4 linked regions of the Drosophila melanogaster genome follow. The protein of the gene in region 4 interacts with the protein of the main gene of each other region in a pairwise test. Each region holds a gene or a part of one and is shown on either strand. Other genes may lie near its edges.

Region 1 (4,856 bases), on a different chromosome or scaffold from region 4:
TAGAAGGAAAACTTATCTCCTGTCCACTTGGGACTTTCATATGGTGATCGATCGATCGATCGATTGAACCATTTGCAGCTCGATCGGCGGTGGTCAGAACTCGTTCTGTGGCCCTTTTGGCCAACAAGAGGTCTGCAAACAGGCCAAACCTGCAAGGGCCAAGACGATTTACAACCAAAGATGATAAAAAAAAAGAACGAAATTCAACTAAAAAACGAGGAAGCACTGATTTTTAAAAACAGCGTTTCAATACCCTTCAATTCGAGGAATTATAATGATTCTTGGCTGGTACAGCTTGATATGGGTTATAAGTTTATATAAGTTGAACTATTGCATATTGTTAATATTCCACAAGAAGTGCTATCAAGTATTGCTATTAAAGTTAAAAATATAAAACTAATCGCCTGACTATTTTAGTATACCTTTTCTGAGGGCATCAAGAGCAATCAAAGATCGAAGTGGATTGCAAAGGACATTGACTTGAAACTCTGGGATCTCACAACTGATCTCTTTCAGATATTTTATGACCCCAGCTTGTGGCTTTTAATTCTGCAACAAAATTGATTTCGGCAATGGGAAGAACACGTTTCCCCCCGAGTTACAAACAAAAAAAAAAACTCATTTCGGTTCTGTCGATTTTTATGGCTTTTCTTGGAGTTGGTTAATCGCCTTCTTTTTCTCTGATCTCTGGCGCCCAAAATATTTTTGCTCGAGTTTCGGTTTTTAGCTTTGATATTATGCAATTGCTAGCCGTACTCTTTTTTACACAATTGACTGTCGAATTAGCACCTCACTCACATCCAGCGACAGGTGACGATAAGGCGGGCGGGCAGTGGGCGTGGCAGCAGCAACAACAACACACATTACTCTAAACGGTGGCAACTTTCACTCAACAGCCGTGCGGAATACTAAAAAAAAAATCAAAAAACAAATAAATACCCGTGCAAATTGGGTGACAAAAACAGCAACAAAATGTCAGAAAAAAAAAAAAAAAAAACTGGGAGCGAGTGGGAGAGTCAGGCGATCTTCGTCATCCAAAATTACCTCACTTATCAACCTAAGCCGATTGTTGTTGCCGAAATATTGGTGTCATATTTTCTTGTCAAGGTCACAAATTTGTTGTCAAATTGTAAAAAAATGTTTATTGGGTCTAAAACAATAGTGAATAATTGTAAACGAATTTCTGCCAAGGTCAGTTATCCCTTTTGAACTTCGAGAAAAATATAGAAAAAAGAGAGTTTAGCCTTAGAAAAATTTTCAGTGGCTTTAATATTTATGTTGGCTGTTAAATAGGTTTGGAGTCGTAATAAAAACGTTGAATTCAAAAATATTAAAGAACTCAAGAAAATGTTGTATTAAAACTATAAAAAACATTCTGTCAAATAACATGATATTTTTATATATTAACAAAACAAAAATGAAGGAACAATTTTATATTATTGTTATTTGCCCTCAGTTGCAATCCACATTTCTTTAAAGTGCAATATGAGAATTCAGTTATTTCATTGTTTTAAAAACTTTGAAAGCAGGCTGCCAGAAAGTGGAAAAGATGACTTTGACGTTGCCGGATAGTTGTATTTTAATGTACTGTTAACCTTGGATTTTAACTTGTTAGTTTCTATAAGATCTCTAGCTAGTTGCTTTACCGTTCCGATTAAAAGGCTAGAGGAACCGCATTGTTTCTTGAAATTTAGAGAAATTAGTATTGTTCTTGTAGAACTTAAGTCAATACAATTATTTTTTTTTAACAGAATTCTGTTACTTGCGTGCTGTTAAAAGTTAGCAGTATTTTCTGCAAAGTCATATGTTTTGGTATTTCTCAGCTGCGCCGCCTGATTTTTTGGCGCTGACCCCTGCCTGGCCACACTGGCGATGTGGTGTGACCAAATTCGTGCTCGCTCCGCGAGTCGCCGTCAAAAAACAACTGTGAAATTGCACAAGAAACTAAACAAATAATCGCGTAAAATTACCGAAAACATGTGCAGCGGCCGTTAGCAGCGTGCGGCAACTAATCGAGCCAGTGAAAACGTGCAGGTGCGAGCGAGAAAACACGCGTACGCGTCACTAGCAACAACAACAAACACACAGTGCACCAACTCTCGCATAAGCACGCACACACACACACACACACGCGCGCACACATGCATAAACACCGACGCACATGCAACAAAAATAAAATAAAAACAAAAGAGCAAGCGAAATAATAACAGAAATAAATTTGATAAATTCAATTATAAATTAAGGCAGCTGCTTGTGTGCTAAGCAAAAATATTAAATAGAAAGTCTTGGCCACTTAAGTGAACCAAAATTAGAGAAGCAGCAGAGTGCCCAAAATATCAATATATAGATTTGATATCTAAAAGTAACGAAAGTTAACTTAAAACCTTAATGGTGGACAATGGATCAAAAAAACAAAATCCCTACTAAAATAAATTCCAAATACTTGCTAAATGAATGAAACCCGCAAATAAAGTCGATTCTTACCAAGATAACCAAAACTAGCTTCATGACTTTTAATTCTTGTTGTTTTAATTTTTGTGCACTTCCTGGTTACGGAACACCTGGAAAACCCCATCCTCGCCTTTTTCCACGCTGATTAACAAATCTCGCGTTTTTCCCCCCTATCAGCTGACATACGCATACAAAGCCCATCCAGTTGCCACCCCCTACTTCTTGCACCTGTAAAGAACAGGTGACTAATACACTGCTCGCGAAGTTTGTCAGCTGCTGGCGCCGTGGAAGCAACAACAACAAAACTAACCACATCCACATCGGCAACAACAACATCGGCTTTCTACAGAGCAGCGACGTCGGCGTCGGCAGAGGCCTCTGCCTGCACAACACCAGCAACAATAAAATCAAAAACTAAAACTATGGCCACCACCACCACAACAACAACAACAACGGGGGCAACAAATGCTAAAGATGGTGAGTTATATACTTAAAAGGATTTAAGATTAAAGAAAATATATCACAAGAAGTAAAACCCTTAAAAATCTTTAAAAAGAAACAGTAAATGGTGACCCACAAAAAACTGAAGCACAGATGCAAGGGTGCACATACAAACGACAAGTCGGTTAAAGTTCAAGGCGAACGAACAATTTAAATTGCAGGTTTCCGGTCAATGCCACTCTGTGTAATTAAACTAAAGTTAGTTGGTCGACCTAGATATTAGTATAACCTTTGGCTAAGAAAGACTGACATTTAAAGGCAATTAAAGGAAGGTTAGGTTTTAAGAAGAGCCATAAAACTATGGAAATAAACATACAATATCTTTAAATGTTTGGAAGGTTTTTCATTAAGGTTCTTTCATCTCCAGATGGCGGCAGAGAAATTAAAAAAAAAAACAAGTAAAATTCCATAATTCGCCCGCTTATCTGCGCTTTTCCAAAGACTTGCACATTTGTTTGCCCGGTACACAAGGCCGTAATCCTAATCCCTCAAAAGCTTAATCTTTTGTTTTGTATTCCGGGATCCGGGCAAAAAACCCTGAAACAGCAATCCCCACCAACGCATCTGACGTAACTTGTTGAGCAACCACGATTGCTGGCCGATTTGTTTTTGGACTTCTTTTTGGGCTGAGGAAAGAAGAAAAGTTTTATTAATATCAATAACCAAAAGAGCGAAGCGAGGGCAGCGAATAAGGCAAGAAATTAATGAATGCCACTGGTCGCGGGGAATAAATTTGAACAAAAAGCGAGGCACAAAGCAGCAAAAGCAAAACAAACCATAACCAGCTTAACAACGATAATTAAGAAGTGCCGGCCAGCAAAAAAAAAGTGTAAAAAATTACATACGAAATTTAATTGCCAAGGCGGAAAATGGTAGCATGCGGGGGGCAACAAGGGGGTATGGGGCCATGGCGAAGGTCAGCTAGGGGCCTGAAGGTCATAGGCATTTTCGACGTTGTCGTCACCTCTTGAACCCGCTCGAATTTATTGATTTTACACGCAGCAGCCGCAAAAAAGAGAGGAATAATCACAAAAACAACGGCAGCTACAAAATCATGCATATTTCTCGTTGCCCGATGTTTTACTACACCTTGAACAGTGGTCATCGGGTATGGTGAGCTACTTAATTAAAAAAACTTTTCATTATTAAGTTATTGCGAGCAGTAATTGTTAACGCCGCTAGGTGGAGCTCGTGTGCAATCCCGATAACAGTGGCACTCCTTTTAGTTGAATAAATGGTATGTCATAGTGTTGGCACTCCACCAATGTTCTTTGTTTCGCTTCGCGAGCATCCACTGTAGCCTTTATTCATATTTGTGTGCCCCAAACACTGGCACACAAAGCCAAACACACACAGAGAGCGACTTGTGCGGCTTTTGCTGGGCACTCGAGTAGTTCAGTGCGGGGCTTATGCCAAAGGCCAAATGGAAAACCTGCTTTAAGAGCCAGTGAGAGAAGCATACGAATCAGTCCAGCCACTGCAGAGCCCAAATCCCCTCCATGGCCACAGTTTGATGCTGAAATCGTGTGTTGTCTTTGGGGCTTGATAAACTGTAGCAAGCCCACAAAAATCTTCTAATTAAATCAAAGCTAACGGTTGCCGTTTAACGGTTTTCGTTCATAAAACTTGGCCAAAAAATCTAACTCGCTGTTCTTTCTGAGTTTTTTTGTTTTGTTTTTGCTTAGATACCATTGCCAATTTTAGGTTGCCATTTTTATCCCAACATTCTCATTTTGAGAGTCATTTTCTGTGTTATTTCTTATCAACTAAAACAAAAGGCAAAACTTTGATAAGCCAGTTGACACAGCGGGAAACATGATTCATTTGAGTGGTTCACATATTACATGGACTTTGGAATTTTCACTTAATTTAATCAATACGTATGTAGGTATGCACAAGTGATC
Region 2 (4,954 bases), on a different chromosome or scaffold from region 4:
GATCCGGATTGAGGGCTTTTAGCACTCCAAACGGCATTTGTTTGGCTTTAATTGGCGACCGGCTTAGGCGGCGACAGGAGAAGTTTGTCCGGCAATTAGCGGCAGGTAATGGCTCCGCCGACATATGCTATTATTCGGGTTATTACTTTATTTCAACCTATTATTCCCGTCCATGTGGCCCCGGCGGGCAAACGCATTTGGCGTAAATATATGTCATTGATTTGCAGTTAAGGAGACGGAGCTCCGGATCGATGTCATCCCCATGGCAGCCATTACGCATCAGTGTCCTTCGAAGCTGACTCTCCATCTTCGTGTCGTGTCGTCAGGCGCCTTGGGGCCATGATATATTATGGCCTGTCGCCTTGTCTTGTTTATTTGCCGCACTTTGGGGGAAAGGGCGGGAAATGGGATGCTTCTTTTTTTATTGTTATGACGCATATCTTCTCGGAGAAATTGAGACGCTCTTGATTTCCTGGTGATTTATTGTCCATCCAAATTGATTGAATATTTACTAAACGTCTACGGCATCGTCGGCTAAATGGTTTACAGCTGCGCCTGCTCTCCATCGATCCCAAATCGAAATCGATTGGCGAGAAGTCTGCAAAAAAGTCAATTTTGTTAATCAACACGAACGACTTAATCCAAATTGAATGAACTCGAACCTGGGAGCGTTGCCAAAGCGGATCAGCCGCTACACATCATCCGGGCCAAATGCGAAAAATAAAAGCGGGCGCAAATTTACACATTTTTCGCATTTCTGCACCAGATTCCGCCCCGTTTTTCCTCCGAATTTTCCTCCGTTTTTCAGCTACGAAACATTTGCCAATAAGTGACTGAAGCGACCGAACTGAAACAAACCAAACCAAACCAAACCGAACCGAACCGAAACAAATCGGCTCAAGGCTCAGGGCTCAACGAGCTCAGGTGAGAGTTTGCAGGCCTAAAAAAGCGAAAATTGAAAAACGCAGCTGCCTGGGCCATAATAAAGAACCAAAACACGCAGCAAAAACCGAGAAAAGGGGATTCAGCTGCGGCCACTGAACTTCAGAATACTCTAGCAGATTGTAAATTTAATTTTTATTTACTAAATCAATTTACGGGAATATATTTAATAACGATAGCCACTGGCTTGGCAAAAATATAATGAGATATCAACAGTTGGCTCTAGCAACCATTAAATAGATTGGAATTCAAAATGTAAGATGTTTAATTAGATCAACTTGGTATATGCTTCTTAAGATCAAACCTTTTAAGAATACATCTTCAAAGCAATGCCGACTCATACCACAAAAAAGAGGATGGTTCAGAATCATGCATACAGGTATTAAAGTGATCTATTCACAGATTTCTAGATTTCAGATTAGTCCTAAGCTCTGAATTACTCATCATGTAATCATTTAAAGGCAAACTCCTCGGAAGATCTGCAGTACACAAAGCAGATGAAGGAATCGTAATATCCTTTGAAGGGAAGGGCATGTAGACACACACACAAACAGTTCCTTTGATAAGGCAAGAGGGAGAGAGTGAATTGCGTTTTGTGGACGGGCCAGTGTGTGTGCGGGTGGGCGTGGCACTGCCCACAGCCAGCTCAGCCACGCTTGAGGTGATAATGTAATAAGCACTTTTTATGACCCTGCCGGATTTAGACCTAAAATTCCACTCAACTCGGAATCCGAAGGGCATTGTTCTGTCTGTAAAGTTCGCTAGATTTTCGACGACCAACAGGCACATCCGGAATGTTGGACCCCCCCACACCCCGGAATCCAACCCGTCCATCCACATCCATTCTACTGTTTTTATTGGACGGCAAGGATTTAGATTCTAGCCTGCAGTTGTTTGGGCTCAGCTGAACATATTGTCTCGCCATATTCCATTTTTTTGGGAGCAGGACTCTACTAATTGGTGGCATTCACAATGCCCTAGAAAGGGGGGCTCCAAATGGTCGTTCGTGCAGGTGCGAAGTACATAGTACAAGGGCATATATGGGAAAATATGAAAATTTAAGACTTATCACCTTTGATTTTGGTTTATTGCTGAGTTTTTGCCTACCTGCCGAAAAAGTTTAAGGTTTATACTAGATTTTAAAATATACGATGAGCTGTACTACCTGTCTTATCTGCTTCTTTGCTGATTTATTTACATTCACATCTTTCACTTCCTGGATTTGTTTTAAATTAATTGCACTTTACACTCGCTATTGAAGATTTTCCATTGAAGATTTGTCAACAAAACAAGATCAGTGATGAGCTTTTCTAATTCTAACGATGACACGGATTACTTCTCAACTATCGATTCAGCACAGGTTAAAATACATGCTAGTAATTAAAAATGGAAACCAAGAACACCCGTTATCTATTATTGCACTAATTTTTGGTAATTGCATTTTCAAATTATCCAACTGCAATTGCGACACACACTACCAAAATTAACTTTTCCCCCAGCATCGATTGCCACGTGATGCCTGCTCCCCCCATCGATAAATAATCGATGACTTGACTAATTAGTGCAATTTTCACGTTTCATGTTCGCAAATATTCAGAGTTGTATTTCCACGGGCATTAAATTGAACAAAACCGTGACATATTCCACCGACCAATTGGCCATTAAGTGTACCCATATGGCACATTGTGTTTTTTATTTTTCGCATTTAAGAGTCTTAAGTGATTAAGCGAGCGAGACGGAGTTGTAAAGGGACATGCATCAAACATACTGTCATTAATATAAAAATGAAATTACCTTGTCGAGCACCAGATGCCATTAAAAAAGGAACGGCAGAAGGAAAAGCGCTCGAATGGGAAAAATAAGGACGAAATTGCCGCCCACTCGGTTGTTTGTTGTTGCTGTGCATCATCAAATTGAAAAATGTCAGCGATAGAGAGGAGGAAAATGGGAAATCAGAGAACAATGCGGCATTGGACAGGTAAAACGCAAAGGTAAAGGTAAACTGCCACGCCCCAGGGGCGTTCTGTTCTGTTGTCGTCCCTGTTGCTGCATCAACTTGTTGTTGTTGCTATTCTGCTGCGGACGCGGCCCAGTTGCATTGACAATCGACAAATGAGGAAAGATAATGCAGGCATTAATCTTGCTACCAGCAATTTGTCAGCGTTGCTCCATCCTGCTCCATTCCGTATTGCCATCTCTTACCGTTCGAGATGTCAGCTGCAGTTCGAGTTACTCGATTCCAGGGGCTGCCTCTTAGGGGGGCTAAAGTATCTCACAATGAGAGTATTGCAAAATATTTTATATGAGTTTATGTTATGAGTAATGTAAACTACCCTTCTGCAAACAGTCTAAAAACTTAAGACGATTTTTTTGCTATGTTATGCAGTTATTCGCTATAATACCAGCATTACTCACTGTAAGCTCAAAGTATTAGCCCAATCCCTGTCGAATATTTCCAGCGACCGCCCTGACATTCCGAAGTCCGAGAGTTTGTCCCTGCCTCTTCTAAACGCTGGCTTCATCAATTAATTTACAATTTGCCAGACGTCCGTGTCCGCATGCACAGTCTCCAGCTCCATCTCCATCTCCATCTCCAGTTCCAGTTTCAGGTCCTGTCCCAGCATCAGTGGCTCGTTCTCGTCCTGGTCTGTGTTATCCTGTGCTATGCGGTCAGCTTGGCATACTTTTTCTATTCCACTCGTGGCCCGTGGCCCACTAATGGCCATGTCCTTGCATCCTGGCACCCGTTCCACTTCATCCATTTCGCCGGGCTCTGCATCCGTAAATTGCATTGCTTGCCAACTTGTTGAAAGGCGGAGCGAACTTAAATGCTTTTCAATGTTTTTCCATGCCGTGGTACCCACTTAAGGTCACAGATAGTTCACTGGAAAAAAGGGAATTGAAATACTTGAGAAAACATATCGCACTCTTTAGTCTTAACAACTTTACTTCGATGTTACTAAAAAAACTAATTATTTTGAGTAATATATATTAACTTGCCTATCGAATGGAATCCGTTTTTGTTTTATGTGTAAGGTAGACAGTGGCGTTGTGAACCCCATTTAATGGTCACAATTTAGCTTTTAATTAGATCGGCAAATTTGTTTTCGAACCATTTTGCTCGCTCGTGCGGAGAACGAATGCGGAATACGAATTCGAAGTAGTCGGAAAAGTGCCGCCCGTTTTCCGCCCGGAATTAGAGTGCTTACGGTTTTTCATTTTAATTGTTTTTGTGCGGCGAAGATGGGTCCCTGTGGCCGCCCATCCTCCCCAGAGCTCATCTGCCGTGTCGCTGATTTATTTATTTCTATTTGCTGTTATTTAGCTGGTTCTTGTTGCTTTTTGTTCTTTATATCATTTTATTTTGTTTTATTTTATTTTATTTTCTTTCACTTCATTTTATTTTCCGCCAAACCAAGCGAGCGCAATTGCGGTCGCTGAGCGTCTGCCCCCCTGTCCCGATTTTCCTCCGTTTTCCGTCCCGCAGAAAACCCCTCTGCAGCTGTCTGCGTGCCATGCTCTAGTTTTCTATTTTTGCTTTCCCGGCCGTAATGGCAACCTTAATCACGTAATGATTTTGAGCGAGAGGCGCGGGTGTCCAAATTCCGACCAACCCGCAGCTTTTCATACTCCACCCACGATTTTCCTGCGATTTTCCTCCTGCTCCTTGCTGTTTGCTCATTCATCGCGGCTCTTGTTTTTGTATTCCGCATTTCGCAATTGGCACAAATCTCGGCACTCGCCACGCTAATGGCCAAATGCTGTGGCGCTAATTGAAATTACATTTCTTAAAGTTAAATATTTAATTGAGAGCCGCCAAGCCGAGCGGACATCATCAGCAGTCCGGCGAAGGCTTAAAAGTTGCTCGAGTGCACACAAGAGTGTGGGAAATTGGGGAAAAGTTTTGGGGGGGGAGTGGGTTTTGCGAGCATTTCCCAAAGCCTTCCATCCGGAAACTTGTGCATTTAATATGAAAAGCCTTTAAAAGTTTTATTGAGTACGCTTGTTTCAG
Region 3 (5,113 bases), 5.3 Mb from region 4:
TTGTTTAATCTGATATTGTTCGGAGTTAACTTATCTTAAGAGTATGCTCGGCTGCCATTAGGAAGCGCATTCTGCATCTGTACAAAGTTCCTGGATTCTGTCCGTCATACTGATACTGTTAATGCTTACTTTAAGACTATCCTCGCTTCCTCGCCATCGATCAGAATCTTCTGACCATTGAACAAGCAGAACTCACGTTTAACGTGCGCGAACAGCAGATCGGTGATTAGAAATATCTGCCCAGTGGAAAACGCAAGAGTGGCACCGAAATAGAAATTGGCATTTGCCGATCCTGCATAGATCCACAAATGCCAAAGGGCTCCCATCATAGATAGAGTGACCAGGAAGAACGTAAAGACCACAAAGCCATGGGCCATGACTGAAAGAAATTACCAAAGTGCTTAGCAGTTGAAATAACTACGTGAGCCAGATAACTTACATTTCCAACATCTTTTCCACAGCGGAAGCAAGGCCAGATAAAAGCCGACATCGCCCAGGCTGGGATACGCCCTAAAAACGGCCATAAGGGCCACCAATACCGTGGCTAGCAGTAGGGGCTCCTTGCGCAGCTTAATACTTAGTGGCACCAGGTATAATACGGTGGCATTCAATTGGAATGTGATTAGGAACATGGTGCGGAAGTGCTCAAACATTTCAGTAAAAAAGTACCAGAAGAGACCGATATTTGGCTGTAGATCGCGGAAATAAAATCTGTAAGATAGTTAAATACGTAAAAATACAAACAGATAACTAATAAGATAGTTCTTGCTTACATAAAACCCAACGTTCCATCCAGGAAGTTCCAGCTGTTCAGCACAAAATAGTTCGCAACTGCCACGATTAGACAACTGACGATAAAGAGCGCCGCTATAGCCACACCCCTCCTGACCGAATTCCGTGAAAAGACCAGGAGCAGTGGTGCTATAAGTACAATGGGATAGAAGCTGCGGACAGTTTCGAACGCGAGGACTAGAAGGCATGGAATGAGCATTCCCTTCACGAGGCAGTAGAAAAAGAAAGCCAGGAACAGATTGCTTATCACGGTGGAGGTCATTCCAATGCAGCTCATAACAGTCAGTGGACTGAAAAGATATGCCACGATCACAAGTTCCGGAATGTCAAGCTTGTCCAGCGGGCCAAACTGCAGCTCTTCCGTATCCTTGGCATACTCCTTTCGCTCCTTGTCCTGCTGATCCTGCTTTTGCTTGACGAATCTCAGACTCATCGCATAAAGCAGGGCCGCCGTGCAGATATCCAGGATTATGTAGAATATCGGCAGAAACTGCGGGTATTTTTGAAACAATCCGGAGAGCGCGCTGAGTATCAGCGGCGATTCGTGTACCAGGTCGCCCAGATAGGGATCAATGCCACTCTGTAGAAGAAATATCCCCTCTTGCACTGCAAGAATAACTCCATTCAGACTTGTTCATCTATTTGATGTCTACTTTGTTTACTTACTGCGCTTGTGTGAATTTAAAGGTGTCGCGAACTCCACTCGGTTGCCAATCATCGGAGCCAGCGGCGTGCGACAGAAGTAGAAGCGCACGGCGCCGCCCAGCAGGAGCAGTTTAAAGAACTTCGAATCCATCTTCTAGTTGGGCATAGTTTTTGTGAACGGACTCCGCCTGTAAAAAGCCGCCTACAGCTGGCTTGGTGGTGGCAAAGGCCTTCGATAAATTATCGATTTCCTTGTCACGATATACGGCTTCTGGTCTACTGTGTAAGCAATTATGATTTTTTTTAGAGCTTTGTTTTCTTCAAGTTAAATATATTTATTATTTTTGGAATAACAAATTTTGGCTCAAAACAGGATTCCAACTCGCATAAAGTTTTTAAGCTTGGAAAAACTTGTACTTGTATCACGCGCTCATCTCTATGTATCTGTTCCATCTCTCACCAACTGGTTGTTGTTTTTGGACCCGCTCTTGCGCTCGAATTGTTGGAATATATATTTCATTTAATTAAGCACAGAAAGCAGTAGTAAAAATGATTGGAAGTAAAAAATCCAAGGAGGCGAATGTCTTCAAGGAAATCGCAGAGAACTTCGAGCAGCTGACCAAGAATCCAGAGCGTTTTCTCCAGTTTGTTTTCCTTCCAAAGACCGCGCACGTGTTTTTTCAAACGTAGTCAAAACAATTTATATTTCAGGCCACAGCCGGAACAAGTGAATGCCATCGAGCAGCTTATCCAGCAGACATACGCCGTTAGCATCAGCGAGGATGTGGCGAACAAGAAGGAACTGCTGCCGGAATTGGTGCTGGAGCAAATGGACGAGGAGCAGATCTGGCAGCAACTGGAGATTCGCAACGAACTAGTGTTCCAACAGGTGCTGGAGCAAACCGCCAGGCTGACGGCGATGCGCGAGCAGCACCTGGGCATTGAACTGGACGATGGTGAAGAAATAGAGGAAGAAGACGAAGTAATACAAGCTGAAGACTCAGGCGATGAGGAACAAGATGAGGAATCAGACTTCAGCGACGAGGATGGAGGGCTACAAAAGCAGAAGACCGCGCCGCCGAAAGACAAACGAAACAAGCGACTACGCAACTCTGTGGTGGACGATACCTTCTTCAAGTTGGAAGAGATGAATGAGTTCCTGGAGCAGGAGGATGCCAAGGAGATGCGCCGCCTGAACAGCAAGAAACGCGTTGAGCAGGCCGATGATATAGATCATTTCGCAGAGGATTTTGGTCTTGGCGAAGATGAGGAGGACGATGAGGAGGGGAATGTCAACTATGCGGACTTCTTTGACATGAATGAGGAACTGACAGAGCATTCTAAAAAGATTAACAAAGGCAAGCAGAAAGATTTCTTCAATGAAAACGAGAGTGAAAATGAAAATGAACCGGATGAGGATGCAAATCCCAAAGAGGGCGATTCTGATCAAAGCGAAGGAGACGAGGGCGATGATGAACCTGAAAATGATCAAGATCCAGATGAGGCGGCCAGCGAAATAGATGAATCCGAATTCGTGGCAAAAAGTGGCATAGAACCTGCCAGCGATTCAGACTCGGATTCGGAGAAAGAAGAGGAGGAGCCACAACCCACAGAGCCACCGTCCCAATCATCCAATGAGATGAGAGAGGCTCGTTTGTTTCAACGCATCCGCGACTACGAAGACATTGTCCTAGGCGAGAAGCCTTGGCAGCTCAAAGGCGAAGTAAAGGCAGCCAATCGGCCCCAGAACTCACTGCTTGAGGAGATTCTCGACTTCGATTCGACCACCAGGCCAACGGCGCCAATCACGGAAGAGGATAACCGCTCCATCGAGGACATAATTAAGCAGCGTATTCGCGACAAAGCATGGGACGATGTGGAGCGCACTGTGCGACCGGTGAACACCCCGCAAGAGTACAGAAAACAACTTGTGCTTGACCAGGAGAAATCAAAACAATCGCTGTCGCAGATCTACGAGGCGCAGTATCAGCGCGAAATGGAAAAACTCGATCCCAATCGCGATGCCGATGACAAAACTGGTCCGGAACCGAAAGAACACCAAGAAATCAAGCGGGCAATGCGTTCCCTATTCCTTAAATTGGACGCCCTCTCCAATTTCCACTTCACGCCGAAACCGGTGGCGCCGGAGATCAAGATCGTAACGAACACACCAGCAGTTCACATGGAAGAGGTGGCCCCGCTGGCGGTGAGCGATGCCAAGCTGCTGGCACCCGAGGAGGTGTTCCGCGGACCCAAGCACGCTCCACTTGGCAAGACCGAACGCGATCGAACGGATAAGAACCGCGAGCGCCGCAAAAAGAAGCAAAAGCAGCGGGCCATCCACTCGGCTCTGGAGCAGCGCGAGCTTCAGCGAGCCAAGGAGGGCAAGGCGCCCACAAAGAAGGAAGCGGATGCCAAGCTGCTCAAGACAATCACCAAGAATCGCAATGTTCAAAAGGTATATAACATTTTAGTTTATCTCTGTTTTATGTTTTGTATTTAATTGCTATTCTTGAGCGATTTTGAATTCTAAATGAATCAAACTTTAAACGATTTTCTTGCAGATCAATGCCAGCAGCAACGACCAGGGAGCTCTGAAGTCCTCAAAGGCTTTCTTCCACAAACTGCAGGATACCGCAGCGGCTACAGCATCCAAAAAGCGACCGAAAAAGGATACCGCCAAGGCGGATGCCAAGAAGCTGAAGCTTTAAACGTACACGCTAGGACTCCTTCATATTGTAATTGCCTTAAGCCAGCAAAGTTTTCTCGTCTCCAGTCACGTGCCAGAAAGTTGTCACAAGCACACACGTATGCCCACATAGCAATCCTTGTTGCAAGAATATCTTTAGCATGTACTGTGTGTCTGGGGAGTCCCCAATTTGGTGCTCCATGGGAGATGCCATGTGTCGGTACTTTTAATGTTCCATGTGCGCGGATCCATCGTATGTGTATGTGATGCGTGGGCGCTTTGTGTGTGGCGGCGTGTGAGTCAAGGACATTCTGTGTCCTGTTGAGGCGATTAGGCACGCGTGCAGCTTGCGGAATTTGACTATTCTTAGAATTATTTACTTAAAATAACTGTTTGCTATGTAAATAGTACCCTAATTAAAGAAAGCAAAGCAAGTAACGTAGCCACTTGTTTTTTTGTTGGATTAGAGTAGAAATACTCAATCATATAATCATCATCATAATTTCTATATTACATTACAAAATTAAAAAATTTAATTTTATCTTCTAAGGGAGAAATAGAGATGGGATACAAATCGAAATCGATATGCTATAACGGTCAATTTTCCAATCGGTTTTGGTGAAACAGCTGCTATTGGTGCTCGGCCCTGCGAAGGGGGTGTGTATTGGCTAAAGTTGTGACCGTGCCTGAGACATCGGTAATGAAAATAGTTCCCGATATCGACTGTAGCTACGTTTTGCGATTCTGAACATATCGATATTAAAGCGTAGCACGTGTGGTTGTGGTGCATTTTAAATATAGTTTTGCTCGAGTTTTTACGCATCTGTCAAAAAAGCAAAAAATAATATGGTTAAAGTACAGAAACCGCAGCCCAAGTCGCTGAACAAGAGCGCCAGCATCGAGGGCGTGGTTAAGAAAAAGGGTAAACCGGAAAAGACCAAGAAACTGGCCACAGACGCTACTCTGGAGTTGGCCAGCAACAAAAAG
Region 4 (3,709 bases):
TTCAAAGTTCTCGACTCCAAAGGTGCCACTGAATTCTCCCGAGTTGATTTCGAACGACCTCTGCGCCGCCTTCATGGGTGCCATAACGGGGATTCCAAATCTCGGGCTACCATTTTGCAGGACGACCCTGAATGCCTCCAATCCGTCCACAATTACGCTGGAGAAAGAGCGTCCTTGGGCTGAAAATTAACTATGATTATTAAATTTTCCCTAAAATTTTCTTCATATTCTCACCTGACAAAGGTTCGGCAACTTCGGCACCTTGACAGCTGGCCAGGGCCACGATAAGCGCAATCAGGAATGCAGACTTCATTCTTAGCACAGAACACTAGTTAACCCTTTTGGCAATCAAAATCCACTAGTCGAAGCTTGCCAAATCCATTCCTCTTATATAGGAAAATGACCATTGAGATAATCTATCGGTACACAGCACAAAAATATCAGTGTCTAGATTAAAAAATTTTAATATTAGGAAAACTTCTATGTACAGTGAATAAACAGTGAATGCTTTCTTGGCTTATATTTACAAAAACATGGTTGAAATATGGAACAATTTGTTATTTATTCTTAAATAATTAGTGTTTATAAAGGTTTAAAGAAATATTAGGGGCATTCCTCTCATATCAAAATTATTGTTTATTGACACAAAATGGTGAGGTATTGAGTACAGTGCTCTAAGATATTCCCTTTGATATAAAAATCATATTCTGAAAATCGCTATATCTTATTATATTATTTTGTATGAATCTACATTTTTTTTCTGTGCATGTGAAGTAGCTTTATTAATCGGCAAATAATTTGGCAAAGTGTTTTATGACAGATAGGACACAACTTGAGATTAGACCGTCTTTGAAATATAATGAAAGCTGATGGATGTTGTAAATATTAAGCTTTTTAAAACATCGTTTAAATTTCCCAATGCAATGAACAAAAAAAAACCCACCGAAAGCCAGTCCCGCAAGAAAAGAGCCAGGTGACGAATTCTTGATTCATAAACGGTTGTTTAATGACCGATGATTTGTTTACCACTCGAACTCGGGGGGAATGCAGGCCTCCTTCTCTCCACCCTCACCATCACCACCGGCACCGGAGATGATCTCGGCGATGCTGATGTCGTCCAGAACGCTGTTGACGGCGGGCAGGGCAATACTCTCGATGGTATCGGCAATCAGATCTTCGTTCTCATTGATGGCCAGCTCCACGGCCTCGGCCAAGTACTCATTCATCTTCTCGTTGATGCTGCCATCGCCCAGGATGCCCTCGATCTCGGAATCAACCTCACCCAAGTGGGTGCGGACCTCCAATGACTTCAGCTTCAGGTTGCCGCTGATCACGCCGAGTGAGTACTTCATAGTGCCCCAGATAACCATATCCTTGATGGCGAATTTGGCATGTCCGGCACCGATCAGATTGATGGTAAATCCGTACTTCTTTAGCAGCACACTCAAATCGTATTGGGTATCCACGTTCACGTCGCGGAAAGTGAACTTGTAGGTCACCTTGCTGGTGATGGCGTTGACCTTCATCTCATCGATATCAAAATCATTCAGACCGTTCAGGCGGAAGTGATCAATGGTTCCCTGAGCCTTCAGCACGCTGCTATCGATGTTGATATCCTGATGGTCAATTCTAAGAGGAGCCAATGGCGGCAGGCCGACACTGGTAAAGCCACAGGGCATCTGCTCCTTAATGCCCTCGATCACATCCACAATCGTGCTGGAGATCGACTGGGTTTCTAGAGAATCAAATGGATAGGTATGCTAAATATTTGGGCATTGGAAATCATCTGGAATACTCACCAATGGGCTGGCCCATGGAAGCCGCACTGGCAACGGCCACAAAAGCCAAAATAGCCACGAAGATTTTCATTATTGCTTTGACTGAGAGTCCTACCGACTGATCGTAGTACCTACGGTATTTATACTACTCAGTCGTCCGGTCGCACGAGTCGCTTTTTATAGACGATCAACATTTCAGGTGGGGTTGTGATAAGGTGGCTTCGTACTCGTGAACGATTTGATTAGCCACCGGGCGTTCAATCGATGGCCTATTGCTGTCTTATCTCGGCCAACGATTCCCCGGTTGGCAAATTTTTTAATTTTAATGATTAGTTATATATACATACATGGGGGTACTTATCCTAAGGAAATGATCAGATTTAAAAAGACAGTTTTCACTAAAGTACAAACATTGCCTTCTTGTGGAGGAGTGTCAAGATCAAAGTCTATTTGGGGTGTGTCCCCGCTTTGTTATGGTTAGAAGGCTTCAAAAAAGTGTGTTTTTCTAAAACGTTTTCTAAAAAAGAAGGTGTAGGATTAGTGGTTGACTTGGAAACAAGATTTTAAAATCATTAGTTTCGCGATTACAGAGTACTCATACATTAAATGTATGGTCTTACGAAAACTTTCCATCAATCGATATTTTAAGGTCATGCAGGTGTTGAAGCCAATAGGAAACATTTTAACAAAGTAATTATCAAAATTGAAAACGACTACCAAAAATTTAGCATGATTATAATCTTCTAAAGAAGTCTGTTTGGAATTAAAATTCTCCATGCACTTCTGCGGATCTAAAGTCTGCGAAAAGTTTGTTTATTGATTAACAATCAAGTGATTTTTAAGTGCATTGAGTGATTTATGAATGATATCTCGACTGGGGTATTTAAAGGTCTTACGAATGGATCTATTAATAAAAAAATCCAGACGATTAACACCTGATGGCTAGTCAAATACTCTCTTAACGAATTATTGGCTTTAAAGTTAACGCCAGTCCTAGCCCAATATGTTTATCAATAAGTAGTTTACCCATTGTGTTAGTTCCCCTTGTAAAATCGTAATCAGAATAGCAATAAATCACTTTTTAGTACGCCTTTAAGGTTCTAAAGAGTACAAAAAAGCCACTGAAGCTCTGAAGACAAAAGAATTTACCCCCACTGAGTGATACGAATCGGTCATCCAGTGTAATCCGCCGACACCTGCATGGAGTGGTTGACGCAGTTTTACCCCCGGTAGACCAGTTATTTGTGTATAATCCAGATCGCAATGATAGGCAATATATATTCTTTAAGTGATATTGACAATCGATTGGCCAATTGGACGTCGAGATTAGGCCAAAACAAGCCACTCAGGCGAAACAAGTGCTCCCTTTTTTTACAAACCACTTGCCGAATGATTTGATTCCTTCGTTTTTAAATCGGAAGCCTATCGTGAATTGGGCGTTATGTTCATGGCAGCTCCGCTAATCAAAAGTAGCGATTAGCATTTGTATTTGTTAACCTGGTTAAGTGATCCCTTCCCTTCCCCTCGGCTTGCCCTTCGAATCCGCTAGCTTTGCTATAAAAGCCACTGACCGGCTGGGACAATCAATCAGGTGGCTGGCTATACAATGAAAGCTATCGTTTGTGTTTTTGTGACCCTTTTGGCCTGCGTAGCGGCCTACGATGTGGAGCTGCTCACCGAGGAGCAATGGGACCAGCTGGTGGCGCGTAATCGTAAGTGTCTTAAGCCATCCATCACCTGACCAAACAGAGGACTAATTGCAATGTGATTCCCCGCAAACAGCCGCCAAGCCCGATACTCAGGGTCTGATCTTGAACGGATCGGTGAAGAAGGCCATCAATGGACTGCTGAACCAAATGCCTTGTGGTTGGCCCCAATATGGAATTCCACCACTGGATCCCTACACCAATGCTGATCTCCGCATCCACTTG

Evidence for each region.
Region 1: the proteins of CG8997 (region 4) and Eip63E interact in a two-hybrid assay, tested with the Drosophila melanogaster proteins (one large-scale study listed by BioGRID).
Region 2: the proteins of CG8997 (region 4) and tun interact in a two-hybrid assay, tested with the Drosophila melanogaster proteins (one large-scale study listed by BioGRID).
Region 3: the proteins of CG8997 (region 4) and CG13097 interact in a two-hybrid assay, tested with the Drosophila melanogaster proteins (one large-scale study listed by BioGRID).

Annotation. Positions count from the first base shown.
Region 1 is NT_037436.4:3,513,901-3,518,756, forward strand, and holds the start of Eip63E (Ecdysone-induced protein 63E), read left to right. Parts: upstream 1-1,850; 5' UTR 1,851-2,034; exon of another isoform or gene 2,035-2,628; 5' UTR 2,629-2,873; coding exon 2,874-2,928; intron 2,929-4,856.
Region 2 is NT_033778.4:15,792,104-15,797,057, reverse strand, and holds the start of tun (tungus), read right to left. Parts: upstream 3,059-4,954; 5' UTR 2,108-3,058; intron 1-2,107. UniProt on the Drosophila melanogaster protein: Mediates the side-chain deamidation of N-terminal glutamine residues to glutamate, an important step in N-end rule pathway of protein degradation.
Region 3 is NT_033779.5:8,511,628-8,516,740, reverse strand, and holds CG13097 (uncharacterized protein), read left to right. Parts: upstream 1-1,872; 5' UTR 1,873-1,986; coding exon 1,987-2,081; intron 2,082-2,148; coding exon 2,149-3,895; intron 3,896-4,001; coding exon 4,002-4,148; 3' UTR 4,149-4,567; downstream 4,568-5,113. Other genes in the region: PIG-U (phosphatidylinositol glycan anchor biosynthesis class U), read right to left, coding at 126-379, 440-711, 774-1,398, 1,459-1,588; CG13096 (uncharacterized protein), read left to right, coding at 4,973-5,113.
Region 4 is NT_033779.5:13,843,394-13,847,102, forward strand, and holds CG8997 (uncharacterized protein), read right to left. Parts: upstream 1,933-3,709; 5' UTR 1,870-1,932; coding exon 1,800-1,869; intron 1,736-1,799; coding exon 1,023-1,735; 3' UTR 522-1,022; downstream 1-521. Other genes in the region: CG33306 (uncharacterized protein), read right to left, coding at 1-179, 235-313; CG7916 (uncharacterized protein), read left to right, coding at 3,385-3,490, 3,561-3,709.